Linked DNA regions of Kluyveromyces lactis. The main gene of each other region encodes a partner of the protein of the gene in region 4 in a complex. Links are inferred from orthologs where the notes say so. Each region holds a gene or a part of one and is shown on either strand. Other genes may lie near its edges.

Region 1 (3,810 bases), on a different chromosome or scaffold from region 4:
TTTAAGGAGAGCCAATGCGGCATACGATGGATTACTGGTACCATGGCAAGATATACTCATTGCATTACCTGAACCACAAGGTAATTGAGTAATGGCTAGCTTCTGGAATGCTTTAGCACGATCTGATCTTAAAAACAAACCATTCATAATTTCGTGGGGGATACCATCACCAGAAGCACATGCAACTACGTCGTATTCATCTATATCCAAATTTTTTGCAATGTCGACAGCATGCAAATGATATGTTGTCTCTTTAACAACGATTTTGCAACCACTTGCTAATAATATTGGTTTGGCTTTGGACAAGAACAATTTATTGGCTTTACCCTTACCACCGTGTGGGTTGATAATGACTAGAATTGATTTGTTTCTCTTAGTGTTTTTATAACTTCTATTCAAGATCTCTTCTGCCACATCAGTTCCCATATTAGGAAACACTGAAGTATCGACGCTCAATTTTATTGTTTTTGGGACTAAATGGTTCCTCCTTGGCTTTGCAAAAGTGACTTCAATCAATGCAGTATGATCCGGCCATGGGGAACCATCATCTTCTGCTTCCATATTCGTGACATCAAGAATCTTTGCGTAAGGAATAACCGTATTTGAAGGTAGCAGCAGAGCTTCATTCTCATCTTTAGATTCCGTGTCGCTGAGACAAGTAACACAACTGATTAACGAAGCTGTTTCAAAAACACTAGATTGGAAGCTCCCAGAAGCATCGCCGTCTTCGTCATCCTCGTCATCGCCGAAATCACCTCCATTACTTCTGCGTGCCAAAAGCGTCGATGAGCTTGTTGAAGGACCGGACGTAAATTGATCTTTAATCAATAAACCATTTTCGCCAATGATGGCTCTTGTATAGGGCAAATGATACTTCCTGCTCAGCTTACTCATTATTCTTGCAGCCCTCTGTTTCCTTTTTCTCAGATGAAGGGAAATATCTGAATCAGACTCTGATCTCTGTTTGGACCACAACAGTTTTGGCAACTCAACAAGAATAATTAACTACCTCTTTTCCACCTTTACGTGAAAATAACGCAAAACAAAATCAAAAAAAAAGAGACTGATTCAAAATTGAGATACAGTCAAACAAGATCAATGACTATGTCTTCTGTTATTCTCTGATGAATCCTCTTATCAATACCTAGCTAATAAATCACAGGGGGTATGTTTTCGGGATGACGGATATATTACTGTTCCTTTCAGTTCAGTTCGATTTAATTTGATATATCTAACTTGAAAACGGAGAACACCAAATCGTTGTCATAAATATGATAAATGGAAACGTTTCTTGGAAATGATAATAAAGTATAGTACTATCCACCAGTTAAACTAGAATTCTCACAGACAAATTCTCTAAACAAATTTCCTAGGTTCACGATGCTTATATAAGAACCGATGCGCAATGCTTTTTTTATCAGACTGTCTTCTTGTCTAGATAACAAACCACGAGAGTAGATCCTTAGAACAATTTTCTTAAATAGTAGAGGCTTGATTAACAATACTCTGGCTGATATTGGATGTGGACAGAACAGTTTCTTATTCATCAATCATATCTTTACGTTTTAACTTCGAAGGCTTCCTGATTTTCGATTTCATGTAAATCTAAGAAATACAAAACAAAAGAAACATCAGTTGGCACGTGATATATAATCAATTATTACCCGGATATTGTTCTTATATGAATGTTAACTTAAAAAGATTCTAAGCATCGTTAAAGACTAACGGCCATACTAATGAATTAAGAAATCTGCTGTCGACTAGAAAGAATGAATATGTAATTATGTATGTTCGTAACGATTCATTGTGAGGCAAAATAATACTAGTTACTAGACACCAGTCAGATATTTGCGATAACAAGTTTGCAATTTAGAGAATACATATATATATCGAAACGGTGAAATACTCTTAAGTTGGTTTCTAACTAAACACAGTCAAAGTATGCATGACCCACAGAAGGATCCTCGTACTAGGAAAAGCAGGCATGAACTGACCCCGCACAATCTTTCATCTACCATACGTTTTACTGACATACCTGCTCAGTGGAACAAGGATAACTTCACATCTGTGATAACTGGTTCTGGATATATAGTTGACGTTAGAGAGAAATACGTGGATGAGGTCGAAGAAGCAGGAGAACGAGAAGGGGGAAAAGGAACTGGAGCTGGAGCTGGAGCTGGAAGTGAAAGAGGATGTCTTGAATGGGTAGATGTAGATTTCAGGGACTCTTCCTCCGCCAATAGGGCCCAAAATTCAATAAATAAGATAAACCATTTCCCATGTAGGATGTCCATGGTGATTCCCAAAGATTGGAAAGAAAAGTTAGAGAAAATAGACCAACTGAAACCGTTAGAGTTCACAAGAGACAATTTTCCCTGGGATTACAAATTAGAACTACCGTTTGAAATGGTAAGTGAGGTACCTTTACCAAGAAAGCCGTTGCCGGTGGTGCAACCAATAACAAGTGACGCAGGAAGCACACTATCCTCGGAGAATAACACTGCATCTACGAATGCTGCCTCGGATAACCTTGCCTCGAAGGCGAACGAGGCACCGGCACAGCAGATAGAGATCCCAGAGATCTTAGCACGGGCATCAAAGCATCTACCAGCATACCAACCGGGCTCGATGACTGCACCGGATGTGGTATCTCAAAATCTATCGAAGATTCCTACGTTACAAATGATCGAGATTCTATCAAACTTGAAGATCTTAGCCAACCAGCATAACAAGAAGCCACAACTGGAACAATTCTTGAAGACTAACATTGACTTAACGGTAGCTGTCACTCAGGCAATGCTAGAAATGGGGTTGATAAACTATCACGTGATATCAAATGTTCTAGGCCAAATGCAGGGCCAACATTCTGTTGGACCCACGCCTGCCGCAGCCGCGCCTACAGTACCAACTCTGCCGCCAGTTCAACTACCTGAGCCGTCTGTACCCCAGACGGCTCAAGGCATTAACAGCGGTGGTAACGGTACTGGTGGTGATATTACCACCACCGCTACAACCAACGCTGCCAACACCCCACAGCAGTTCAACGAGGCAAAACTTTCGCTACTGCCGCAAGATCAACAGAACATGATCAGAACTGCGCTTTCGATGCCCATAACGAACATAATGGCTCTTCCACCAGGCCAGCAACAACTAATACAGCAACTCAAAAACGACTACCTTCTATAGATAATAATAATAGCAATAACAAGAAAAATACATAGCACAATTCCTATCTCTTAGTCATCCATAATGGCTCGAAGGCTTTCTTTCTATCTATAGTGTATACCACCGTGTTTCCCAACCTAAAAGTTCCGCGCGCAAGTTTTCCTCTTTAACGACTTGGCTCATACAGGAAACTGAAAATGGAAAAAGCTGAAATAACCGACATTTCAAAACAGGAAGATGTCAAATGCATGCGGCGAAATGAAGGGAAACGAACGTCGAGGGAAATGTCTAAGGAAAGCGCAAAGGGAAAGAAATGCCGAAACGATTGGGCTACTATTCGAATGTTTTGGCGGTAGCTGCCGCCCTCCACAGCAACACGGAGCACTTTGTGTCAGGATCCTTTGGAGAGATTAGATAGATATTTGTTTATGTGCGTGTGTAAAAAGAAAAACTTGTCAAGTCCTCTCTTGCAGTAATCCGTTTCTGTTTTCAGTATGTTATATCAGGTATCATCAGTGCCGATCTGAGCTGATAAGGAAGGAAGGAGGAAAGGAGGGAAGGAGGAAGAGAGGGCAGAAGAGGTTTCCGTCGCAGTTTCACCGACCTATTCGTTAAAATACCTATTCGCTGCTCTTAATTTTTTGA
Region 2 (4,595 bases), on a different chromosome or scaffold from region 4:
GAAGCCGATACTGCGGATGGCTTGTGATAAACGTGAATCCAAGTGGAACGAATCGAAAGAAGAAGAATCATCAATGTATCCCTGGGAAGCGCTTGTTTGAGCCATATTGAAGCGTTTTTCTGGACTCTAGCTCTCGTCGAACACTTTAACTATAACCTCGGTTGTAAGTTTCGATCAAAAGGTTAATGCTGCTGATAGTTGAGACCCATTTAGCCTGTTTTACAGCTCTTGTACGTTCAGACTCTGGATGAGATGAGATGAGCTTCCCAAAAATTTTCTTGAGGTGCAAAAAGAAACTACACAGGCAAAAGGATTTATGAGTCACGTGATTGAGTTATCTTGTCTCTTCTGGATTGGCAATGTGAATGAAATACCTCACTGTAGCTCTGATTTTGCCATGGTATTGGTAGATTGATTTAAAATTTACTGTTATAATGAGAATATATATATATATATCGCGTTTAGTAGTTTAGTAAATGGTTTTTTGTCCTCTTGGTGTCTTTTGTAACTTGTCGAAAACGATATGTTCATTCAGTTAATTGAAACTTGAATGCATCTTTAAAGTTTTAATAGATTATTTAGTACAGAGGAACACCTTGGCAAGATGGCAGTATAGGGTTGAAAAGTATATAGTTAATGCAAAAAGATGATTAATGACTAGCTCATATATAATCATATCTATATATGAGACAGATTAACACAATGGGGCCACCAAGTCGGAGCCAATTTTTAATAAACTCTCTATTCTACCTTTCAATGGATTAGAGTTACATTCTTCCACAACCATTTTTGAGAAGTTTATACATGCTGTTGTTTTTCCTAAGTTGATAGTGCCTTTTATTTCTTCTTTGGAGTCTTCCTCATTCAAAAATAATGTAAAAGTATCACCAAACTGTTCCTTGAAAACTCTCGATATGTTCTTAATTTTAGTCGTGTGATCATCGTGTCCATGATGATGTCCACATGACTTCGAACTCATTTTGATACTTGCTGGAGCGCTCTCGACACTCAGTAGAATTGCCATGACACTATCCGCGACTGAATCACTGATAACATTCTGAGTCCATTGCAATGTAGCTACATTGTCAACTATATTTAATATTACATCTCCCATGATTTTTATTTCTAGTTCACCCTTCTTTATCTTCCTCGTCTTGAATTCGGGATTGATGTTCTTCAATGAGACGTTTTCTTCGTCAATGTATACATCTACGTCACCAAACATTTGGCAGATATGCCAATATACTAGTTCGCTTTTACAGTCCAAGTGGACTGTCTGTCTTTCTGTCAAAACTGTAGTAGATAATTGTTGATAATGTTCTCTTAAATCTGAAAGCGAAACTAAACTTAGATCAAAATTCTTCTCATCTGACACCAATATACCTGAAACTATTTTCTCATTTTCTTCTTTGACAATTTCCGTTTTACTTTCCTCTGTTTCTGGATCCTCTTCATGGATTTCCGTGATTCTTTTCTCATTCTTTAGTGCGTCTTCTTCAGTTATAAACTCATCGAGATCTTCAATAATTTTCCCAACTGCCCTGGCAACCTTAACATCCTTGAACTCAATATCAACAAAGACACAATTTCTAGGATTGAAAACATGAACCTCGTTTTCAGTATCCTTGAGAGAGCTGAAATTAGAAAGAAGGGCTGATTTTAAACGACCCATTGGGTTGGATTCGCCATGAACTAAAATGATGTTGCTAGCTCCAATTAGCTCGATAAATTCTAAATTTTCCCTAAAGTCAACATGAGCAGCGAATGTTATTTCATCCACTTGGCAACGTCTTGGGATAGTTATCTCAGGGTTGTGTACCGAGGGAATAGCCTCAGGTTCTAGTAACAAATATTTTGCCATTGTACCTTCTACAGAATAACCAGTGACAAGAACCAGATTTTTTTCTTCTGGACACCATTTTTCTAAAATGTCTCTAGATAGACCGTTTTGCAACATACCTGGGGATGCTAACATGACACTGGGACCAAAATCCTCGAATTCATCCAAATTCTTGAGGTAAGAAATATTCTTGAAGATGAATGGATTTGTTTGAGAATCTTTGAATTTTTTACGAATATCGTCATTCATCATATTAACATATGTCTGAAAGACACTCATACATTTCTTAGCAAGATTTGATGCGTAAAAGATAGGTACTTGCCCGTTTCCGAGTTCTTCTTTGTGATTCTGCCAATATTCGTCTAATATAAGCATGATTTCTTGAGCTCTTCCAAGGGCAAACACCGGTAAAAGAACACGTCCTCCCTTAGATACCACGGTATGTATTAACTGGGTCAACTTTCTTTCCCTGTTTTGTCTTGGTTCGTGAGTAGCGGTACCAAATGTACTTTCCACAATTATGACGTCCGAAGACTGAGGTGGTACCTCAGCAGAGTTAAGGTGACGGTCCACTTCTCTTGAATAATCACCAGTAAATAATACACGAACACCAGCGATTTCAATTTGAAACATCGCTGCTCCAAGAACATGACCTGCATGGAACGCTGTAAATTTAATACCATTTACCTCCATAGTGGAATGATAGTCAATAGTTTCTATCCTATCAAAGGACTCAGCCAAGTCCTCATCAGAGTATAAATTATCATTACTTGAATCCTGTCCTGGACTGTCTCCTATGCTGGTCACCTTGACGAAATCATTCAAAAGCCAACGATATATAGCTTTGGTCGGATGTGTCATGAATACTCTACCACGAAAATTCGTTCGTTGCATCACATAAGGCAATGATGCCGCGTGGTCAAGATGAAAATGTGAGATTAAAAGAAGATCGATTGTGGAGAGATCGAATTCATCGTAATAGGGCAATGAAGCTAAACCTTGATGGGCCGGATGGATACCTGCATCTAACATTAGAGTCTTGCCCTTATACTGAAGTATATGACACGATCTCCCCACTTCATTGGATCCTCCTAGTGAGAAAAAGCGAAGATGGTCCTTGTCTGGAACCTCATTTTCCAATTGAGTCATTTCTTGACAATGCAAAGGACAGACAAAATGCTCTCACAAACACGTCAAAAGTTACTGTCTGCTTGAGCCCCCCGATATCTGTTATGAGTGCCCGAATACCAACAGAGGTTGCTCGGTAACCATTGGACAGGACACTCTTCTTTATGTTGAATTGCTAAGATTTTCAATAAACGTTAACTGGTTTTAATGTCTTACAGAAAAAAGTGAGAAAAAAGTGAGAAACTAGGAAATAGCATATTGGTGTACAGAGGGAGTAGAGGTAGATATTGATAACGAAAAGTTAGTAAAGAGAGGGCTGAAGGCAACCTAAGATGATTTGAGAACACATCTTGATAACAAATGTCGTTACGTACTGTTTCTAGTGAGAATCTTGCTGCTTGTCGGGTTCTAACACCTATCTTAAACTGATTGTTTTCCCTTACTATGTAGATGTTGAAATAATAATATGTAGAATTTCTGATCGACAATATATCAGAATGAAACAAAGGGTAAAGGGAACAGGATAGGTCACGTGACTAGATTTATTTACTTGGATCAGGTCACATCTGGCTAAATTACTGCAAGTGTGTTGGTAAAATGGAATGAAACGAATTAAACTGCAGAATGTATGTAAACACAAATTTTTTTGCTAGATATATATTACAACTAAAAACGAGTGAATACTCTTTGAATTAAAAGGAAAGAGTAGAATGAAAACGAAATGTTGTGGAATGACGGAAACATAAGACATTAACACTTAGTATGAAAAATGGTTGTATTTTTTTCTTTAATTACGGGGAATATCCTCTGTAGAGGTGTTCAACGTTTGAATTGAAGGCTTCAAGTGAGGAATCCATAATCGTCGTTAACGGTCCAAAATTCTTCAACGGGAACTGACAACATAGCTTCCAATTGCTGTTGTTGTTGCTGTTGCGGTGGTCTTTGACCTTGCTGATTATCTGGTTGATTGAAGTTCATATTCATGTTGGTAAATGAAGAGTTTCTCCAATTCAGGGAGTTATTCAGAGTGCCAGGATTGTTGTCTCGATTGGGCATGACAAAAGTCTTTTGATCATTTGTTGTCGCTGATGATTGTAAAGATCCGTTTAGGTTGCCCATATTGTTGCCTCCATTCAGTGGATCTACGTAATGATTACTGTTCATCAAATCCAAAACCGAGTCGTTGGTCCATGTGGAGATGTTGTTGATCATCGTATGGGTACCATTATTGAAGATTATACCATTATCGTTCGGCCTGGGTGAAGGACCGACGGAGAATGATATTGGGTGCAACGGTGTGTTAGGAGACTTTACAAAGTTGGCTGGTTGCTTTTTTTGGAAAATGTCTGCATTTCCGTGTTGCCAGCCGGTTGGGGAAGACATGTCAGATGAAGTTACGGATGCTTTATTATCAGCACCACCACTAAACAGTGAAGGATGATTCTGAGTGATGGGATTTAATGAATTTTGATTTTGTTGAGGGGGCAGAGTAGTTGCTGTCCTATTATTCACATGAGACCCCATCCCATTGGCAGATTGCATCATTTGCGCATTGTTATTCTCGAAAGCACCATTTAATGAAGAAAGGTAGGCCTGTAAATTTTGCTGCGCTTGATGTTGTTGCAAA
Region 3 (3,491 bases), on a different chromosome or scaffold from region 4:
CACAAACATATAAAGAAGACGAATTATGGAAACTTCCTCGGAAAAATCCATCTAAGGTTTGCTCTCTTACAGTTGATGTGATGTATCTTCCAAGAACTTCGTCCATGGAAAGATTCCCAAAGAATCTGAAGGCAGTTCAGAAGTGTTGCGAGAAGTATCTTGAACAGCAAAGGGTCAATAATGAAGGATTCCTGTGGCAAGAAGGCGGTGATGTAGAGGGAATGTTGAAAAGAAGATATATGATTTTGAAAGGCACTGAACTTATAGCTCATGACGAAGTTACCAGAAAACCACAAACTTTGTTGAATCTTCTAAACGTAGTAGATATATACTCTGATGGTAAAACGGCAACTGGAAAACAAATGAGAAACTTTACTGATATGGTACTTTTCAGCGATTGCTTCAAACTCCTTTTTGCAAATGATGAAGTTATAAATTTTAACGCTGATTCTAATCTTTTAAAACAACAATGGGTTGAAATTTTGACCAGCGTTGTTGAACTGAATAAATTCCATCAACCATGGATCAAAAGAGTTTTTGAAAACGAACAATACAACATTACTTTTTAAACTGTTATAGTATTCAGATATATAGTTTGTCTTTGCCATTTTTTTTGAAGTATAGTATATTAATGTCATTTCTCTAATTATAACAAATGTCAACATGAGGTCTTTAAAACTAAGCTGTGTTACAATTCCATCAAGGAATCGAAAATACATGTACATGTCCGCTATATATCATTAATGTTGCTTGCAATCAATACGAGCCTCAAGCACTAAATTTCATTTCTTGTCGTTGAGATTATTATTGTTGTTGTTGTTAATGTTGTTCATGTTGTTCATGTTGTTCATGTTGTTCATGTTGTTCATGCTTGATACATTTTGATTTTGCATGTTATTCATCATACCCGGAAATGGAAATCCTGGGAAACCACCAAACATGGGGGGAAGTCCCATAGGCGGAGGAGGAGGTTGGATTGTATTCTGTACAGGTTGTCCTGAACCTGGATCATTTAACTTTCCTTGCTGCTGTAAAGCTAGGAGGTTCATCAAAATCTTTTGTGGGTTGTATTCTTTCGTCAAATGTTCTTGTCTATGTAAATATTCCATCCAAGTCTGTTCATTAAATCCATAATTGAAATAATCTGAAATATTCGCTCCTGGTTGTCTCCAGGGCTTCTCCTTTAGAATTTCTGGATCGATCTGTACTATAGGTTTCCCATCGAATTGTGCATCCGGGTTCAAATCAATAGTTTGTTGTTGCTGCTGCTGCTGTTCAGGTGGTATTGAACCCTCCTGTACAGGAACCACGTCCGATATACCAGCCACTGCTGCAATAGCATGATCCGCTGTACCAAGAGGCGTTGTGTCTGTTATAGCAGATATCTGGGACTTACCAGAATCTATCTTAGAGGTATCGTTACCAGTTCCGATGATAATCTCAACATCTGAATCTGAGTCACTGCTGTCATCCTCATCTGATGAACTATCCTGATTGGAGGCCTCACTCTCTACCTCATTCGTATTACCTTCCGGTACATCATGAGCTAGTATCTTGGGTGTTTCTTCGACCTTTTGTCTTTTCAATGCAGGACCCTCTTGCTTTGCGACTACGTTAGAATCCTCCTCATCGCTGTATAGAAACTTATCGTCTTCATCCTCACTGCTCATAACGATTCGTTTCTATATGTCGTTCGTGGACTGGTAGAAGATTTATCAATAAATGCTTGGAAAGTTTGGAAGGCTGCGCAACCCAAAAGGTATCTTAACAGGAAGATAGTTCTTCTTCTCATATAGAAATCAACTAATAGTTAACTCTCAATGCTAAGATTTACCAAAATGATGCTGTTAAATCGACGCATATCCGGGTAAATTATTGTCGTATTCAATGACAAACATTTCTAATGAATATCTGTCACCGGACAGCGGACAGCGACTCAGCTTGTTTGGACGGAATGTATAATATGGGTTAAATGTGTAGCTAATGAGAATACATGATTTACAGAAGAATTAGATGTGCATGTTGCGGACAGTATCGATTTCCGATGTTAACGAACTTGAAAGAATATGCGATGGTAAGAATTAAAGATATGGAAAAGTAACAAGGGAAACCAAAGAAAAAAGTGCATCTTATTGACGAAGCATAATACTTTGTCCTGTTTTTTCAGAGTAAAAGTGTGAATTAATTAAAAAAATTGACAGAAAACAACAGAGGAAACAAACATTACAGGCGAGTGAGTGTCTTTAATGTGTTGAAAAGAGTCAGACATTGTTGAGAATGAATGTTCAAAAAAGTCGATTGTAAACTGCAATTGAGAAGTGAATGTTCTTTTTTGAAGTGTTTATGGGACCTGTAAGGTTGACTAAACATGGTCACCTTGTGTCCGCACCCACAGAAACAAAGTAAAAAAAAAAATGGAAGGTAATTTGAAATGAAGTAGAGAATTAGAAAGGAATGAATGTAAGAAATATGATGAAGAAGGAAAAAAATATGCAGGTGTATCATACAGGCAGTCTATAGCAAAGGGGGAAAAATAATATCTGGATAAAAGGATGAGGATTGTTCCATCAAAAATACGTCTTGGAGAACTTGTAATCAATTTCTTGGAATCTAATCTTATCGAAATAATCCAAATCGTTAGAATCAGCCAAGAAATACCCAAAATAAGGTAGTAACTTGTTAGTTAGCGTGTAAACAAACTGATCCTTTTCCGAAACGACCGAATCTTTCTTTGAAGATGAAGAGGAGAACATGATGGGTGCCACCAATGCACGTTGCTGTTTTTTCTTCACTGGAGCCATGCACTGCAAGTCATTGTCCAAATCTTGCTCGTCTTCTTCCAGTAACACGTTGATACTTCTTGTAGAAGAGAAAACAGAACTGTGTCTTGTGTCAGCCAGTGAAGGTGGTGTAGAAGAAGAACAAATAATTCTCTGTTCATCTTCTTCTTCAAAACTCGTCTGTAAAAATTTCAAATTGTGAACGTGAATCAAATGGACAGGCTGAGTATGGATCATCGACGGCATATGGATGGACCTTGGCTGTAAATCGTGTCGACTGATAACATGCTTCTCATGAAAATCAAGGCTTACATCATCTTCGAGATCAGAAAGTGCCAATTCACCATGCCATTCCATGTTAACTCCACATTCTTGCAGGTCGTCCAGTTTCAAATAGCTAGAAATATCCAGCTCGCAGTGCATTGTATTGGGTAAAGTATATTAAGCTTCTATGGTAACCAGTTAGTATTTCACTATCAGTTTTTTTTTATGCACGGTAATGAGGCAACCGATAGAAAAAGAAAGACAGACAAGAATATGTCAAAAGCCTCAAAAACGATAGACCTATATATAAGCTTGGTAGATAGCATTCCACTTCAAACTGCATATACTAAAGTTAGATAAAACTAGATTTATCCTAAAATAATTCCCAAATTAACCCTAAATCATGTCATATCGTATCATGCCCAGTTACATCTAGATCCAGAAACA
Region 4 (4,766 bases):
ATAAGAGCGTTCAGAAATTATAACCTCCAGTAAATAACAGATGAAAGACTATGAAATAGTCGTTAATTCTACTTCCTGGGAAATTTTGGTTACAACTTAGCACAAAGGTATCACTAAATCTGAAAGGAAATATGGGAAAGAATACAATGTTCTTAAAAAATCTTTGTGAGACAGCAGATTTTCACAATGAAAGAAGACTACCTTCCTGAAGCAGTCTAACTAATCCAACAGATGTTAAACACAATGAATAAACGCACACCTCTTTTCGGGCCTTGGTTCGTTCTGTTTATCACTTTCACTTCCTCTGACTTAGTTAGATTCCTGAAAACATATTCAAGAAGAAGCGATGTTGAAATTATTTTTTTTTTCAAATTTCAGCGAGACGGCATTAGTTCATTTCTTTTTCTCAAAGAAGCTCTGTGTGTGTCCTTTGTTTCGAAGGGAAACGAGAACGAGATGAGATCGTGCTGTGCGTGCGTTAACTATATGTTTTAACGATAATGTGGCTAAAAGGTTATATTTTTGAAAACTTCAAATTTCTCATTAAGTGACTGATACATGGTGGAATTTCAGCCAAACCTATTGGGCATTAGCGAGCTATGATTCTCTTTTATTCGTTGACGGTTTGATAGGAAAGTAGTAAGTTTCTCCTTACATATTGCTTTTGGAACGCAACCAAATTGCAATATCTTCGACGGCTAGTATATAGATATATAAATTTAGAAATCAGGGTTTACATTGATTCAGAATAGCTTTACTCAGGAAAAATACTTGTTCAATAGTGAATCGCATTGTGGTTTGATACTTTCGTCTACTTCAGCCATAGATTCGAGGGCAACTTTGATGAACGGTTTCACTGGAGGTCTGAACATCAACATGAATTTCAAAGACTGGAACCCCAATACCGATCTAGTAGGATCTAAACATAGTGATTTCATCTTTTCGATGTGTTCTTGAGTAAGTAACGGCATTTCACTGACCATTCGAATAAACAATCTTCTGTGGGAGTCATCAAGTTTGGGGATCATGAAATCTAGCACCTTTACTGACCATTCATTATATATGGTATGATCTTTACCATCGGAAATCAATTCCTCATGGTACCACTCTTCACTTAGCCATTCAAGTACAAGCGTGATTCTGTTCTGGAAATCCTCACAGAAGTAGTCAAAAATTGCGTTGGTGACAATATCTCTCACATCTTGATTCGATGACACTCCTCTAGAGCAGAGTCTAGATAATAAGAATACCCAGGAGGTCTTATTGTCCCAATTCATTAGTAGAACTTTGTCCAATGGATTTGTACTTTGTAATTGTGTCATTGGAGTGCTCACATCAGTTTTAGTTGGTATCAGTAATATATTCTGCACAATTCTTTGCAAGTGAGTCAACTTCTCATCATAAGTTAAAGTTGGAACACCCAAGGATACTGTATGACTGCTTGATGGTTCTGCATCTTCCACTCTTTCGATCTTTGCCCTTTTGCTTTCTGGTGGCTGTATAGGAGCTGAATCATCAATTACGTACCTATCGTCCGCAGGCTGCTGTAAAGGTTCTTCGTTTTTCATTGCAACTTCTTGCTTTATTGGCAAAGCTGCAGAATTCTCTTCTCTGGGACGTTTACTAGCTTGACTTTGGCTACTGTTGTTGAATGGGACTGGACTACTATCGTTGGAGATAGTTGCGCTCTGTTGTTGAGCATTGTTTTGTAACCACTTGTTTATCAAATCGGTGTACCTGGACGCAACTATGGATAGTCCATTAATGGCAGTACCTGTGTTTGTGTTACTTAAAGCCTCAGTACATATTTTAACCATGGTATCTTGAGACAACTTCGAGACATCGAATCCGGAGGTGACGGGGTTCATTAAGGCAAAAACGGCAGAATATGAGTTATCGACAGAGGTATGAGCAGGATTCAAAAAATGTGGATGCTTTGTCGTGGATTTAGTGAAAGCATAACTCTGAAGGGATTGCAATACAGAAAGATCAGGCGGTGGGGGTGGAGGAGCAGGTATGTTCTTTACGGGGGCATGTATCTGAGGTTGAAAATTATTCAGTAACGGTGGAGTAGATGCCGTATTCATCATTGTATTTCCTATCATTGGCGAAACAATCGGTGGCATTTGAATAGGAGACGGAGATTTCGTTGTCGCTGAAAATGTTCCTGATGAAGAATCTGAAGAAGAGTCGTTAACTTCCTTCACTCTAGTGTATTTTTTTTTATCAGCTGGAGTCATTTTATGTTCAATCGCAGCCGGATCATAATTTAGAATACCTTTAGCTTTGGTCTCTTCGCCAATAACGAATAGAGTCTGTGAAATTTTAGCTAGTTTGTTTCTATACTGTGTCATGGATCCACTGTTTTTGAGTAGTTGACTTTTAATTCCGAACTGAACTAAATTTCTGTAACAACGTTCCACAAATCGCTTTGCAAGTCTGTATTGTAAAGTGGGTTCATCATCTCTTTGGAATTTCATGTCAATGTTGAATTTCAGTAAAGCGGATGCGATTCGAATTGTGGCCAATGGTCTCTGCTTCATAATAAAAGAAAGACTATGAAGAGCACCTGTGAACCATGGTGCACACATCATTGGTTCCTCAATTAAAAAAGTTAACAATTTATCTAACAAATATTTGGCTTCAGCCTCCAACGCTTGCTTATTAGATATCACAGGATGATTTTCTGGTATACTTCCCACGCTAATTCCGGGTCCTGAGGTGTGCACAATAATGATTTTCGAAATGAGCTTCACACTTGCTAATTTTACCCCCGTTCCTCTTGAATGGTTATTTAGATCATTGTCAGACAAATCCAAAGGATAGCAGGTCTTCCAGTTGGCAATGATAAGTTCTTTAAACTTTAACATTACCGACCAAAGTTTATCATCAGAAGTCTTTGCTACTAAATCAAATAATCGGTCATAAATATTACCAAGACATAGTATACAGTTTTTGTAAGTGACATAATCTCTTGTTTCAGCCATTTCCCAAAGCGCAGTGATGTTTTGACATACAATGAATGGTTTTTCACTTGATGGAATCTTATCATGAACCAATATATCCAATAATAACTGGGTAGAAAATCTCGAGAACCCTAAATTCCGCTTATCATTTAAAAACAATGTGATACCGGTCTCCAAAACCTTAGGAAGCATTTGTTCCGGCATATGCTGCATTGCCATCGCAGCTGCCTGTTGCAACTGGACTAAAGGGTCTACAGAAGTTGACATAGTTTTCTATACTCAGCAAACAGATGATTGAAAACTCACTGGAACAAAACAAAAAAGTACTGACTGTTGAGGTGCTTTGTTTAAAGTTTAACACACGGTTTATAGTATCAACCACGCTTGATGCTATGTCTGACTTGCTCTTGCTGTTTCTGCGCTCTTCAGTCACTTGTGGTTTCTTATAGTCAAAACGAAATCTGAACTTAGTGTTTAATTTTTTTTTCAATTTCATGTTCGTGCTTATAGAGAAGAGAGACTGTGAAAGAGAAAAAGCTACAGATGGTACAAACCTGCCCGAGAATATTTATGGATTTCAGACAGTAATTGACATGACATTTGTAACATTTACTTCGATTGAACTGTATATTACTGATCATGAAATTCACAATTTGTGAGTTAATAATGCTATATTGCTAGAAACAACTAAATAATGTCATAGCTCACCGATGTCGCATTTTTCAGAGGTCAACTGCCTAATCGGTTGAAATATGTAAGTGGGGCATTGTGTTGATTTCTCTCATTTCACTTTATACGCTAATGATTTGGCGGTTTGATCATTGAACGTTTCTGGGTACTATGTCAATCAGGAAATCGAACATATCGGACTTTTGTAATGCATCCGCAATGTCTTGCTTCTGCAACGTACGTCGCTTATTTTCCTCTGCAACACACCATGCTCTCATTGTGAGTTCTGTGATGAAGATTTCGCAGGCTTTTGCAAATAGAATTGGAGCCTCTCCACTAATCATTCTAACTTCTTCGTCAGTTTTCATCACTTTCTTAATCCTTGCTAGTGGTAACGAATGCGATTTGAAGTCGTCTTGGAATTGTGAACCTGGCTCATTCGTGGATTCTATCTCATTAATAAGTTCCTGCCAATACTGTATCATAATTTCTCTGTATCTGCCAGCAAGTCCCTGGCCGACATTATGGAATACGTCGATCTCTTCATCTTCTTCGAGATCCATGAGAGGTCCTTGTTCGTTTGTTACGTTCTCTTGATTATTAGCTGCCGGTTGATCCATGGTTTCGAGGTAAGTGTCATCGACAATATCAGTTAGATTTCATGTGGATCTGTGCTGCTAAGAACAGGGTACGATTTCAATACAGATCCACTCTTAGCATATTATGCGGTTTCCTGAAATCGTTTTAAGGATATGATTGTGAAAATAATATCTATGGCTTTTCATTATAAAAAAGACCATTTATGAAGGGTACCTCAACCAATTCCTGCAAAGTAACGAAGGTGGGTAAAGAGTGAATAATACCTTGAAAAACCTAATCGGGCAAGGTCCACGATTATATGGATTCGGTAATATGTGCCCCCAAAGACAGTTCCAATCATTTACTACAACTGCAGAGTCTACACTTTCACATACAACTCACAAGCAATTATCCGGTGCAACAATTTATGATGAGCCAGAAAACTTTCTAGAGATAGAGGTTTGCAACCCAAAGACTCATTTCCCTAGTGGCGATGCTAAGGGAATGTATACAGATTATGAAATTATATGCAGGACGAATCTTCCTGGCTTT
Region 5 (4,351 bases), on a different chromosome or scaffold from region 4:
TAGCCCAAAACCGAATTAGCTCGATGGCACAATAATTAATACAAAGAAACAAGGGTACAAAGAGGAAAAACGAAATAATTGCGTCAAAAGAAAGCAAAATCCAAGTGCTGGGCGAAATGAAAGAAAGTAGCCTTTCGAAAATGGCCCTTAAATGGCTTCTTGAACCTCTTTGACAGATAAAAACCCTTCACAAGACACTTGTTACCTAAGTTACCTTCAAATTTCAACTTCTTGTTTCTTTTCCTTCACTCCCATTACTCGATCTCTTTCTGTCACGTTGCTTCTTTCTTTTACTGAAAAGTGTGGCTTTCTTTCATCACTATGGGTGTATTTGTAAGTTAAACTTGAAATAGGAACTTGCCTGTTGAATCAACAGCGGCTGAACCAGATGATACTGTTCGGGTATCGGTAACGTCTTGTTTTCTCGGATTTTATCAGTGTCTAACTGGCTAACCTTCTATCTCTTGTGGTTTTCCTTTGACTCTTTTTGTCCGCATCTGTCAATTATGTATCAAGATAAGGCACATAGCTGACTAAAAATAAGTACCAGTTAAACATATTTGATGATAGAACAAAAATATTCAGATTAGAGATGGTAGGTTTATGCAAAACAATGGGGTATGTGGCGGACAGCTTCACTATTATAGTAATGATCTGTTCTTTTCTGTGATATGAGACGTTTTTTTTTTTTTACTTAGTTTATCTAGTGGGAAAGTTGAGTTTATGTGTCGCGTTCAATGTAGAGAAACTTTTGTTAATGACTGGGGCTAAGGCTTGAGGGGAGACTCACGTTGCCTTGGCCATGATGCATTATGCGAACCCTGAAGAGGTAGTATGAACGGATCGTAAGACTTTCTATGTTGTCGCAGTCATTGGGTCTTCGGTGATAGCATTGGTATTACTGTTTGCTGGGACATTTGATGATGGAGTGGAATTAGCGTCATTTACTGGGGAAGAAGAATTGGTGTTGCCACTGGTAGTAGTAGTAGACTTGCCATTGGACGGATCGGATTTAGGTCTTTTACTCTTTTCACCACTTTTCTCCGGTTTCCTCTTCTTGCTGGATTTCACAGGACGTGTTTCCCCCTCTTGGTAGACTTCATCCGGTAAGTCATGCACTTTCACATACTTGATGATTAAAGAATACGTTTCAGGGTCCTCATAGTCGGGTAATGAGCGACACAAATTGAAAAATTCTTGACATGGAATGTGTATATCAATTTTTTTACTCTCTTCTGTGTTGATGTCAAGTCCAATAAACATCGTGGCTATGTGAACTTGATTAGAGTTTTTGGAGGCTTCATCGTCTTTGTTTGCATCAGTTATTTTTGTAAACTTTTTCAATACACCTTCTGTCTTATGTGTACCGTAGTTGTTCATGATCTCTTTATATTCATCCTCATTATTGTATATATAGCTGGACTCGTATGGTTCAATAAATGGATGCGCCAGATTGATTCCTGGTAAAACTTCTAGTTTTTGGACCAACAATCTGAGCTTACTTTCAACGAATCCACTCCATTTCAAGTGTTGTTCGTCGGAACCCTTTGTTGAGACCATAACCGTTAGGTAGAATTTATACTTGAAGAAGAAATCGTGTTTCTTGAACAAATCTTCCCATGATAGTTCATTAGAGAAAATCTTTTGTGTGACCTCTACACCTCTTTGTAATTCAGATAAGATCACTTTCTTAGTTGACTCACTGATGTTGTGGGTAGCACACATTGAAGGGTACGCTGGTGTAATCACAGGCATCTTGTGGGATCTATCCTGTGCATATATTTTGGGGTTCCACACGCGGACCTGTAAAGGACCATCTTCGATTGGCTTCAATAGGACAGGTTGTGGCCATTTCCAACGTGATAAAATCTGAAAGAATTTTGATATTATTACCGCACTGCATGCATTAGGGTACAATTGGCAGATTCTTACCACAAACATCGCCCATGCGACACCACCGGGGAACCCAAAGACGTTTGCATATACTGCTCTTCTCTTTGCCCATATCTTAATAGCTCTTAATGCAATCTTGAAAGATGTTTTATTAGGCACTAATTCTAAAATTTCATCGGTGACTCTGGTACCGTTCAACGCTCTTAGATCCTTTTCATCAACGTTCCTTAACAAATTCTTATCACTTAAAGTTAAACTTATTGGAACCTGGGGTAAATCTAGTTTAGCAAAGATTAAATCGATGGAGATTCCATTGAATTTGATCTTGATAATTGGGACGAAAGCATCTGGAACTGACGCAATTTCTTCAAGTTCTGGTCTTTCCCTCAACAGAGCATCGAATACGGTAAAGAAATCTTCTCTGGATACATGTTTAGGTACCACAATCAACGTATCAATATCGGAACCTGGACCATGGACCCCTAATCTATAAGAACCAAAGGTAAATACTTTACCACCAGCATCACGAGCCATACCATCGGACATGTTTTTCTTCTTTGAAACCTGATATACAAACTCTTGTGTCAATTTTTGGAAGATTTCTAATACTGCCACTCTCTTCCCAGTTTCTTCCTCCGTTTCGAAAGAGCCTTCTTTCTTAAGCTGTTGAATTAATGAATCGTTTAATGCGTTTTCGGCAGCAGTGGGACCCTCCGTGGAAATCGGGCCCGTTACACCAAAGATCTTTTTCTGGGACATTGTATTGGGATAATATTTGTTTCTGTAATCTGGTATATTTCTATTCCTTGCTCTATCCAGATAATCACTTCCCCCGGTATTTAAAAGGCTGTCCGCGGATTGTCTTCTTGGAATGTAGTTCTGAAACTTCTTTGAGATTGGAGACGATGTTGGTGAGTTAGCCGGTGAATAATAAACGTAATGTAGCCCTGGCTGATTGAAATATTGTTGCTGATGCTGCTGTCTTTGATTATAATGGTGGTGATGTTGCAAATGATGCTGATATGTGTTTCGGCTTGTATTGAGATTTAAATGCCGGTTTCTTTGTCTGGAGGGAGATGATCCTACACTATCAGATTCTGAACTTTTTCCCCCTTCCTCTTCTTCTTCTATTAGCCCTACTGCACCTAGTACTACCTCAGAAGTGATATCACAACCGGAAACCTTGAGCCCTGCAAGATCCGAGCTTATTGAATTCAACTGGTCGCCAATCACCGTCCTTGAATTATCGTAAGTGTCCTTGAAAACCTGTGCGTCTTGTACTGAAGTCGACAACCTGAATGAGTTTTGACTTGCTACGTCTTCCTAGATCAGAAAGAACCGTCAAAAGTACTCCTCACAAGTTAATTCGTGATGAGGATAATCAAATAAGTGTCGGATGTGTATAATCTCCGAGAGTTAATACACCAAAGTTCCAATGCAAAGGCTTTTTTCAGTATTTGTGAGTCTGACACTAACTTCTTTTGTTGTTGTTGTTGTTGGTAACAGGTGACCAATATCAAAAGATGTGCTCGTCACTAATTTGAACTAAAAACGTAACTAGCACAAACTATCCAGTTATATTCAGATAGAGAGAGACTGTGTGTATATGTGTGTAGACAAAAAAATCAGCCAGTTAATATTGTATTGTCTGAGAATTCCGTTTCCCTTTATTTCTTTCCTTTACCAATTCTGTCTCAGGAGTGTCCAGCGAATGAAAGAATTAAGAAGTTCAATTTGAAGGTACTGGCAAGTTTGGACCAAAGGGATATGTAGTGTTGGTTTTAACTTTAGCTTCTCCTGTTCACACACTCAAACCAAATAAAAGGTATAGTAAGTTCAAAAGTTCACACTTTGTTATATTATTTCATTTTGTACTAAATTTTTAAAGCCAGAAAAATTCAAAATCGATTTCAAGACCCAGGAAAAATCAATAATTACGTGAAAGACCCCAATCATAAGAATGAGCGAGCTTGAATTTGCAAATTGTATGTTCAATTTCCTGTAAATCTTATCCAACAATAATTCAATTGGAAGTATATGCATATATATAAACGAAAATCCAGATATGGAAGAATCAAGATATTTGATGATTACAAAACCTTTGTATTTCGTGTGTAGATCTGTAACGGCATCCGAAAAAAACAAGAAAACTATCCCATTGACAGTGAAAGTCGGCCTTTATATGGGCCCTTGTAGTTCGTTTGGAAACTCTTCTCCCCGTTAATTTGAATAAGAGGCTACTGGCTAAATAGGCTCACTGACTGTGCTATCTATTGGATACGATCTGGATCCAGTTAGATTGGCAGATCTAACCATTTCCGGGTAATACTTGGTTTTTTCTAACTTTTGGTGGCGAAAAAGGGGAAAAACAAGAAAAACATCAAATCAAAATCAATTCTAGTCAACTCGAGAGAGATATTCCAAATATCTAGAGAGATTTATTTTTATATATACCTTT
Region 6 (2,986 bases), on a different chromosome or scaffold from region 4:
TATCTAGTTTGAAAGAAAACAACAGACGTCAAAAAGAGAGGGAAATGAACTGGAAACAATTAGAGGATTACGTTTCGAAGTTGAAGATCGCAGAAAGTTGAAAAAAAGTGACCACTATCATCCTTACGGACTCACCATCACCAAATCATTATTATCGTCTTCATTATCATCATCATCACGGTAAAAGTTATGTATATACTTATATCTACGCGTCTTTTTCACCGAACATAGAATTGTTTCCGTATATATCAGTAAACGACAAATGATTTCCAACCCAAATAGGAGGCCTTAATTTACATATAAAATAGTAATAAAGGTACTACTTGACTGATAACTTGCCGCTTATCACTTTCTAACTGACAATTCTATATATTCTTTTTTATAATGACTGTCACCCAAATCCTATTCTTTTCAGCATGTTGGGTTTTGTATGATTCTTAAATTTCAACATCGGTTGAAAAAAAAGGGTCGCAGGCTCCATCGTCAGTATGGCTATATAAAGAAATATTGAGAAGTACGTGCAAATTGCTATTGAGTTAAGAAAACGACAATTCGTAGACAAAATCACTGTTTATAATTTAATCTTTCGATAACGAAGAAATTCGGTTAGAAATCAGTCTCATTTAGTTCAACTCAGAATTGTGTTTTATATCCTCGAGTGAAGACAGACCAATCGACATAATAGGTAAAGAATTAGGAAAGATGTTCAGAACAGCAGCAAGAAACCTTGGCGTGCCATTAAGAAGAAGTGTTTATGTTGGATTCAGCGGTAGTTTATTAGTCGGTGGTGGATCGTTGTTGCACTCGATGCAACCAAGCTCATATATCATGAACGATTCAATTGTTGATGTTAAGCAAAGAACGAATCTACCACAAGAGCTTGGATTGCCAAGCCGTGTTGATATAAGTTCGAAGCAAAGAAGAGTCAACTACAGACAAATGTGCTACGGGTCAATTTTAGGTCTAGTGTTCGGTGTTATCTTTGGTAAGATATCAAGTCTTCTCGTGTTCATCACCGGGGTTGGATTCGTTGGGTTACAATTCTTGCAGAACAGGGGAGTTATCAGCAGTGACAGCACTCGTTCTCTTTCCAAATACGTTGTGACCATCGGCCGTGAGAGGATTGATTTGAACACATTGATCTGGGACAAACCCAGCTTCAAAGTCTCATTCATCTTGACATTTGTGCTAGCTGCACTTAACGTCTGATTGGTTCCGAGAACGCTACCTTATTCAGTTCACGTGACTTTTTCTCATGTGAAAACCCAGAATATCCTATAACGTTATATTTAAGAATTAGTAAAATAATTATTGTGTGTAACTCGCTTGTAACATGATTAATTACCAATCATCAAAGACATTTTCATAAACGACTGGTAGGCTACATTAGACTGGGTTGTCAAGGAGATAAGGGAGTTTAAACTAATGAGTATAGTTCATCCAGATACCTCGAAGTACGAGTTTAATTTCGAGCCATTTCTACGGAAAGAATATTCGTTCTCGTTAGATCCAGATAGACCGGTATGCCAATACTATAATTCAAGAGAGGGGATAAAATCCTGTCCCAACGGAGCACGCTGTCCAAACAAGCATGTGCTACCGATATTTCAGAACAAGATTGTTTGTAAGCACTGGCTCCGAGGTCTCTGCAAGAAGAACGATCAATGTGAATATTTACACGAGTATAACCTAAGAAAGATGCCCGAGTGTGTATTCTTCACCAAGAACGGGTACTGTACACAATCACCGGAGTGTCAATACTTGCACGTAGATCACAAGAGTCAGTTAGAAGAATGTGAGGATTATAATATGGGGTTCTGTCCATCGGGACCTGCATGCACGAAGAAACATGTCAAAAAGGTACTTTGCCCCAGATACTTGGTAGGGTTTTGTCCACTGGGTAAAGATTGCGACTGGTCGCATCCCAAATTCAAAGTACCTTCAGAACACAGCAAACTGCGCATCAAGAAAGACGAGCATATTAATACAAGAAAGATGGATGAGGAAAGGGAAAGACGCTTGAATGCCATTATCAACGGTGACATCCTAGTCACGTGACTGAATTTTTTCAGTTTTCATCAGTGCGTTCGTTCTCAGCCACTGCTGCTGTCACTATTCACTATTCAGCTCACCATACGTAATTCGATACAGATACAGATACTAAGTAACATAATACTACACAATGTTACAGCCGGATAATTCTATCAACCGACAGCAAAAGCAACACACCTGAAAAATTAAGGGAACCAAGGCTCACATACCTTAAATTGCTTATCCAATAGGTATCAGACCTCTCAGCCAAAATCATTCGCTGAGTTTCATTTATGGACACGCGGTCGACATATTCCCCAGTATAGAACACTCCATTCCACAGTTTCTTTCGGTTTCTTTTTTTTCTTGCAATACTGATAAGCATTAACCCTGAGAGCGGACGCATGAATGTACACCAGGCAACAGCGTGAGTTCTTGAAGTCAGTTTTCTAATACACCTATAACTGGCACTAGCCAGCTACTGGGATGGCAGTCTCGCATCACAGCAAGGCTGTCGACCGGTACCTCTTCGTCACTTCGTCTCTCCTCTGCTGCTGTCTATGAACCAGCGAGGTTTTGCTCAAAATGGAAAATGAAATTTTCGACGAAAACAAACAGAAATAAAAAAAAGGGAAAAGGGTAAAAAGGAAAATTAATGGAAGCAAGGTTTTTCCAAAGCAACTTCCGGCCACTTTTAGGAGAATTGCCATTGCATTTGGTAATTTATTTGTATATATATATAACACTTCTATATTTAAAAGTAAGGTTACTATTGTGATAATAACACGCAAGCTATTAATATTGAACATACGCTCAGTTATATAGAGTTCATTTGATCGAGTAATAGTTAAAAAAAAAGATAAAGACACCATATATTACAACCATGCACAGAACATATTCTTTGAGGACTACCAGGGCACCAACTGCCTCTGATTTACAGAATCCACCACCACCA
Region 7 (4,761 bases), on a different chromosome or scaffold from region 4:
GGCTTACATTCTGGTGGTTTCAATTCCTTGTCGTCTGAATTCAAGACGAGGTTGTCCAACGTGAATGGGATCTGTGCGAGGTTCTGTAGTGACAGCATGTTTGAGATTTTGAATATGATTGTATCAACGTAAATTGAGTTTGAATAAACCAAATCTTCCCATTCTGTATTCACTGGACACCTGTAAGACCTTAGGTTCCCAAAAGCACAATCGATGAACTTGACGTTACCCCAGACACTGTTACTAAATTCGACACATAGGGATCGAATGTTGCGGCATTTGATGTTCTTGAAATTGGCTTCTGAACACATTGGGGATGCCCTGATTGTCAAAGATTCTCTCACGAAGGATCCATCAACAAGATCCCTTTCAGTGTTACTATTGTAACTGACGAGAGTTAAATGGTCGCATGGTGGTAATACAACTCTCTTTCCTGGTGGCACTTGGAATTTTTCAATCGTTTTAAGCAGGGGACAGTATTGTAGATCATCGACTATTGTAGTGTTATCCTCACATTGCAATTGATTCACTGTCATAATCCTAGGTGCAATCACTTTCTTACCCCTTCTTATGTTCAAAGTGAACAGCGTTTCCACGTCATGTAAATAAGTAGTCTCAAATATCGTGTCGATATCAAACATGTCAACTTCCTGGTGATTAATATCTCGGTTGGCGAATATATGTAATTCACATAATCGTAGTTGGCTTTGACAATGGCTTAGCTCTCTGAAATAGAACTTGGAAAGGAAATTGGTAGTCGTCTTATACATGAAGCATAGATTCTTTAGAGTACCCATCCCACTTAGCCCTCTACTTAATTCACATAATGCCGTCGCCAATGGGTCACTGTAGCAGCGATCGGATACGATGACAATGAGAACGTTGTCAAACTTCCGTAGAAATTCGCTCAACACAGGAAACTTGAACGTATCTGTATTTACGCAAGCGGTGTTTCTCTCATCAGATAACAACTCATAATTGCAAGGATCTGCTAAGGTTTTTGATGATTCCCTATCCAAATCCCAAATCTTCAATACACCAAGCTTGCGCTTTATAATTGTTCTAAAATGTGAACCAACCTTACTCCATGCTAACAGACTCTCTAGACTGTCTAGTCCGCTAGTTACTACACGATCAATAATTTCGATCGGAAGACTCATTACTTTTGTACCCTTAAATCTTCTTCTCCTCCTTCTTATCATTAGCAAATCTGTCAAAAGTGTCAACTAATGCAGCTTATCTTGCACGTTGTAAACTAGGTCCTTATAATTCAACTGATTTCAAGTACGCTGGTATATCCAAGATGCCTTTAGACTTCTTCCAGTGTTTGGGTCAGTTGAGCAATCTGTTCCGTAATCTGTCGCTTTATTCTTTAATATGCTGACTCAACCTCAAAGAACGTTCGGAATACATTTTGACACTTAAAGTACCGATAAAATTGTGGATTTTGTTGCCTATAATTGTAAGCAATGAAATATGTTTGATATTCCACCTACTGGACCGTACCAACCTACAGATTGCAGCAGTATCTCGTCCAATAACAACTTCCCTGTCTCAGTTTGGCCTCTTAATCCTTCTTACTGACATTATATCTCATTACCCGGACATAACATGTCAAAATGATACTCAAGGCATCAACATTAAGTTCATTTAAACAGTACATGCAAATAATTGAAGAATGAAGGATAAAGGAAGAAGAAGAAGAGATTGCCGGCACTGAGGACACCTTTTCCTTTCCCATTCCAACCAGTGGATTCTCATTGTTTTTCAAATATAGAAGTAACTGTGCTCTCAAGATGACATACACCATCGAAACATGTAGGGATGAGAAGAAGCGGTTTGAGGGAACCATTGTACGATTCAACAATGTAATAGTATTATTGGACCCAGGATGGAACGGTGAAGGCAGTTATGAAGAATGTGAAGAGTTTTGGACGCAGTACATATCTGAAGTTGACATTGTTCTGATTTCCCAGCCCACAATTGAATGCCTTGGGTCCTATGCCATGATGTTTAAACAGTTTTTGCCTCATTTTAGGTCGAGAATTCAAGTTTATGGGACGTTACCTGTATCAAATCTAGGCAGAGTCAACAGTGTTGACCTTTTAACTTCAGTTGGGATATTAGGACCGTTTTCTAATGCCGTCATGGACCTAGAAGATATTGAAAGCTCCTTTGACTTGATTGAAACGGTGAAATACTCTCAAACGGTGGATTTAAAGAATAAATTCGATGGGCTCTCATTAGAAGCACATAACTCAGGGTATGCTCCCGGTGGTACCATTTGGACGATAATCACTTCATCAGAAAAAATATTGTATGCGCCTCGTTGGAACCATACAAGAGATACTATCTTGAATAGTGCGGACCTATTAGACAATACTGGAAATCCAACCAGTTCCATGATGCATCCGACTTCTGTAATAACCAACCTTTCTATTATAGGCTCAGCTGAACCTCAGAGGAAAAGAGTAGAACATTTCACTGATACCATGAAAAGAGCTATACAAATGAATAACTCTTTACTGGTACCAGTTGAAGTAGGAGGGAAACTATTGGAAGTACTAGTCCTAGTTAACAATTTCTTATATGAAAATATGAGGGGTGGATTGAAGTATGATATTCCGGTGTTTCTAATATCTTATTCAAGGGGCCGTTCTCTCACATATGCTAAATCTATGTTAGAATGGTTGTCCTCGCAAGTAATCAAGACCTGGGAATCTCGAGACAATCGGTCTCCATTCGATGTTGTATCTAGATTGAGGATTATTACTCCTGAGGAATTGGGAGGTTACACTGGGCAAAAGATCTGTCTTGTTTCCGAAGTTGATGATATTTTGTCACAAACGATAAACAAACTTTGCTCTAAAGATAAAGTAACGATCATATTGACAGAGAGACATCCAAATACCCCAGCACAACATCCCTTACGAAAACTTAATGATAAATGGCAACAAGCAATAAAGAATGGGAGTAGAAGTGCATTGGATGGCAACCCCATTAGCATATCTGATTCGATGTCACTTCGAATCATGAAGAGAACAATTTTAAACAAGAAGGATGCGGAGAAGGTGAGAGAAATGATTAAAACTAGAAATGAGGTAAGAGAGAAAATTATCGAAGAATATACGGCTAAGACCAATGACAAAGCTCAAACAAAAACAATACTTTTTGATGTTGATGATGAGAGTAGCGACGAAGAAGGTGTGGATTCAATGGATGCAAGAGGCAAGAATGGATCGGGAAACGTTAAAGTGGAGATTCCCGTAGATATTACTTCCAATGATAGTGTTTCCACAAATGAAAAGCACCTTATGTTCCCATTCCATCCAGCAAAGCTTAAATCTGACGATTACGGTGATGTGGTCAACTTAAAGAGATTCTTACCACAGGAAGAATCATATGACCAAGCACAATCTTTAAAGCAATCTTATAGTAATAACGATTATGATGAAGACGATGACGATGATACATATGAGGTACTTGATTCGCGGATTAATAAATCAAAGAAAAGAAAAACAGATCATAATCCTAGGAAACAAGAAAATAATGATGATATTTCTTACTTGGACCCATTGAAAAGTGACATTTATAAACGAGCAATTGTGGAAACAAAAGTTAACATTCGTTGTTCTTTGGTATATATCGACTTGACAAGCATAGTTAATGCGCGGTCGATAGCAATCATCTGGCCTGCAATCAAACCAAGAAAAGTCATTGTGCTGCCATCAGCTGCTCCTGTTGATAACCAAGTCGTGGTTAATCTAACAAAGAGAAATATTGACATATTGGTGACTGAGTTCAATAATTCGGTTGAGATGGATACATCTGTCAAGGCAATTGATATTTCTATCGATCCATCGCTCGACCAACTTCTAAACTGGCAAAGAATCAGTAAATCTTTCACTGTGGCACACGTTGTTGGTAAACTATTGACAGAAACTGACCCAAAAGCCCCACATCGGGAGAAGGTTATATTGAAACCGTTAAGCAACCCGTTAGCTTTACATTCTGGAAGTTCTCTAAGAATCGGAGATGTTAGACTACCGGAATTGAAAAGAAGACTAACTGCGGAAAATCATAAAGCTGAGTTCCAAGGTGAAGGTACACTAGTGATTGATGGCAAAGTTTTGGTTCGGAAGATTAATGATGCCGAAACCATAGTTGATGGTTCACCATCGGACGTATTTTACAAGGTCAAATCGGCAGTGTCAGACATGCTAGCCAACGTTTAAATTGTTCGCGGAAGCTTTCTATAAACGTGACATCGACTTAGATATTAATTAATTATAGTAATTTAGCATTGTAGTAAAGCATTTATAGATCAGTTGTAGAGCTGACCAATGGGGTATGTATGTCGGGATTCAAACATCTATTCTAGGTCTGGCATTCTTTATCTGGGGGGGTTAGAGGGCAAAAAATATACTCCGCGACGGGGAATTGAACCCCGATCTCGCACGCGACAAGCGCGAATTCTAACCATTAAACTATCGCGGATCTGTACTTGAGAAATAGAAAAACTTTGCACTACAGGTTCGCTCAACGGTTGCAGAACACTGATTTCGTTGGAACTAGTCATAATGCATGACCGGGTGATACCAATATAATAGGCGGTTAATGATAGTTTTGTGTCACTGACACATAGCAAAGTATATAAACCAGTACTCAGATCTAATCTACTAATTAGTAGGGATCAGATCTACAGACACCAGGTGCATCTAATTCTACTAGGAGATAGATAGCTAATCAAGATGAATTCTT

Evidence for each region.
Region 1: PTA1 (region 4) and PTI1 share a complex: the UniProt entries of both Saccharomyces cerevisiae proteins name them as parts of the APT complex. The link is inferred for Kluyveromyces lactis from reciprocal best matches to the Saccharomyces cerevisiae genes PTA1 and PTI1.
Region 2: PTA1 (region 4) and YSH1 share a complex: the UniProt entries of both Saccharomyces cerevisiae proteins name them as parts of the cleavage and polyadenylation factor (CPF) complex. The link is inferred for Kluyveromyces lactis from reciprocal best matches to the Saccharomyces cerevisiae genes PTA1 and YSH1.
Region 3: PTA1 (region 4) and FIP1 share a complex: the UniProt entries of both Saccharomyces cerevisiae proteins name them as parts of the cleavage and polyadenylation factor (CPF) complex. The link is inferred for Kluyveromyces lactis from reciprocal best matches to the Saccharomyces cerevisiae genes PTA1 and FIP1.
Region 5: PTA1 (region 4) and PAP1 share a complex: the UniProt entries of both Saccharomyces cerevisiae proteins name them as parts of the cleavage and polyadenylation factor (CPF) complex. The link is inferred for Kluyveromyces lactis from reciprocal best matches to the Saccharomyces cerevisiae genes PTA1 and PAP1.
Region 6: PTA1 (region 4) and YTH1 share a complex: the UniProt entries of both Saccharomyces cerevisiae proteins name them as parts of the cleavage and polyadenylation factor (CPF) complex. The link is inferred for Kluyveromyces lactis from reciprocal best matches to the Saccharomyces cerevisiae genes PTA1 and YTH1.
Region 7: PTA1 (region 4) and CFT2 share a complex: the UniProt entries of both Saccharomyces cerevisiae proteins name them as parts of the cleavage and polyadenylation factor (CPF) complex. The link is inferred for Kluyveromyces lactis from reciprocal best matches to the Saccharomyces cerevisiae genes PTA1 and CFT2.

Annotation. Positions count from the first base shown.
Region 1 is NC_006042.1:1,903,536-1,907,345, forward strand, and holds PTI1 (cleavage polyadenylation factor subunit PTI1), read left to right. Parts: upstream 1-1,941; coding exon 1,942-3,186; downstream 3,187-3,810. Other genes in the region: KLLA0_F20504g (sphinganine kinase LCB4), read right to left, coding at 1-894. UniProt on the Saccharomyces cerevisiae protein: Component of the cleavage and polyadenylation factor (CPF) complex, which plays a key role in polyadenylation-dependent pre-mRNA 3'-end formation and cooperates with cleavage factors including the CFIA complex and NAB4/CFIB.
Region 2 is NC_006039.1:418,897-423,491, forward strand, and holds YSH1 (cleavage polyadenylation factor subunit YSH1), read right to left. Parts: upstream 2,990-4,595; coding exon 695-2,989; downstream 1-694. Other genes in the region: DBP9 (ATP-dependent DNA/RNA helicase), read right to left, coding at 1-105; KLLA0_C04620g (uncharacterized protein), read right to left, coding at 3,809-4,595. UniProt on the Saccharomyces cerevisiae protein: Component of the cleavage and polyadenylation factor (CPF) complex, which plays a key role in polyadenylation-dependent pre-mRNA 3'-end formation and cooperates with cleavage factors including the CFIA complex and NAB4/CFIB. Has endonuclease activity.
Region 3 is NC_006041.1:533,934-537,424, reverse strand, and holds FIP1 (cleavage polyadenylation factor subunit FIP1), read right to left. Parts: upstream 1,671-3,491; coding exon 783-1,670; downstream 1-782. Other genes in the region: BUD4 (Bud4p), read left to right, coding at 1-569; transcription factor IME1, read right to left, coding at 2,568-3,203. UniProt on the Saccharomyces cerevisiae protein: Polymerase-regulating component of the cleavage and polyadenylation factor (CPF) complex, which plays a key role in polyadenylation-dependent pre-mRNA 3'-end formation and cooperates with cleavage factors including the CFIA complex and NAB4/CFIB.
Region 4 is NC_006037.1:330,281-335,046, forward strand, and holds PTA1 (RNA-processing protein PTA1), read right to left. Parts: upstream 3,234-4,766; coding exon 759-3,233; downstream 1-758. Other genes in the region: HAP5 (Hap5p), read right to left, coding at 3,785-4,255; SNX3 (Snx3p), read left to right, coding at 4,548-4,766. UniProt on the Saccharomyces cerevisiae protein: Essential in pre-tRNA processing. Component of the cleavage and polyadenylation factor (CPF) complex, which plays a key role in polyadenylation-dependent pre-mRNA 3'-end formation and cooperates with cleavage factors including the CFIA complex and NAB4/CFIB.
Region 5 is NC_006038.1:1,161,287-1,165,637, forward strand, and holds PAP1 (polynucleotide adenylyltransferase PAP1), read right to left. Parts: upstream 2,653-4,351; coding exon 856-2,652; downstream 1-855. UniProt on the Saccharomyces cerevisiae protein: Polymerase component of the cleavage and polyadenylation factor (CPF) complex, which plays a key role in polyadenylation-dependent pre-mRNA 3'-end formation and cooperates with cleavage factors including the CFIA complex and NAB4/CFIB.
Region 6 is NC_006042.1:760,540-763,525, forward strand, and holds YTH1 (cleavage polyadenylation factor RNA-binding subunit YTH1), read left to right. Parts: upstream 1-1,425; coding exon 1,426-2,058; downstream 2,059-2,986. Other genes in the region: protein phosphatase 2A regulatory subunit RTS1, read left to right, coding at 1-101; FUN14 (Fun14p), read left to right, coding at 703-1,209; lipid-binding protein PIL1, read left to right, coding at 2,915-2,986. UniProt on the Saccharomyces cerevisiae protein: RNA-binding component of the cleavage and polyadenylation factor (CPF) complex, which plays a key role in polyadenylation-dependent pre-mRNA 3'-end formation and cooperates with cleavage factors including the CFIA complex and NAB4/CFIB.
Region 7 is NC_006041.1:1,062,570-1,067,330, reverse strand, and holds CFT2 (cleavage polyadenylation factor subunit CFT2), read left to right. Parts: upstream 1-1,796; coding exon 1,797-4,235; downstream 4,236-4,761. Other genes in the region: KLLA0_E12035g (uncharacterized protein), read right to left, coding at 1-1,160. UniProt on the Saccharomyces cerevisiae protein: RNA-binding component of the cleavage and polyadenylation factor (CPF) complex, which plays a key role in polyadenylation-dependent pre-mRNA 3'-end formation and cooperates with cleavage factors including the CFIA complex and NAB4/CFIB.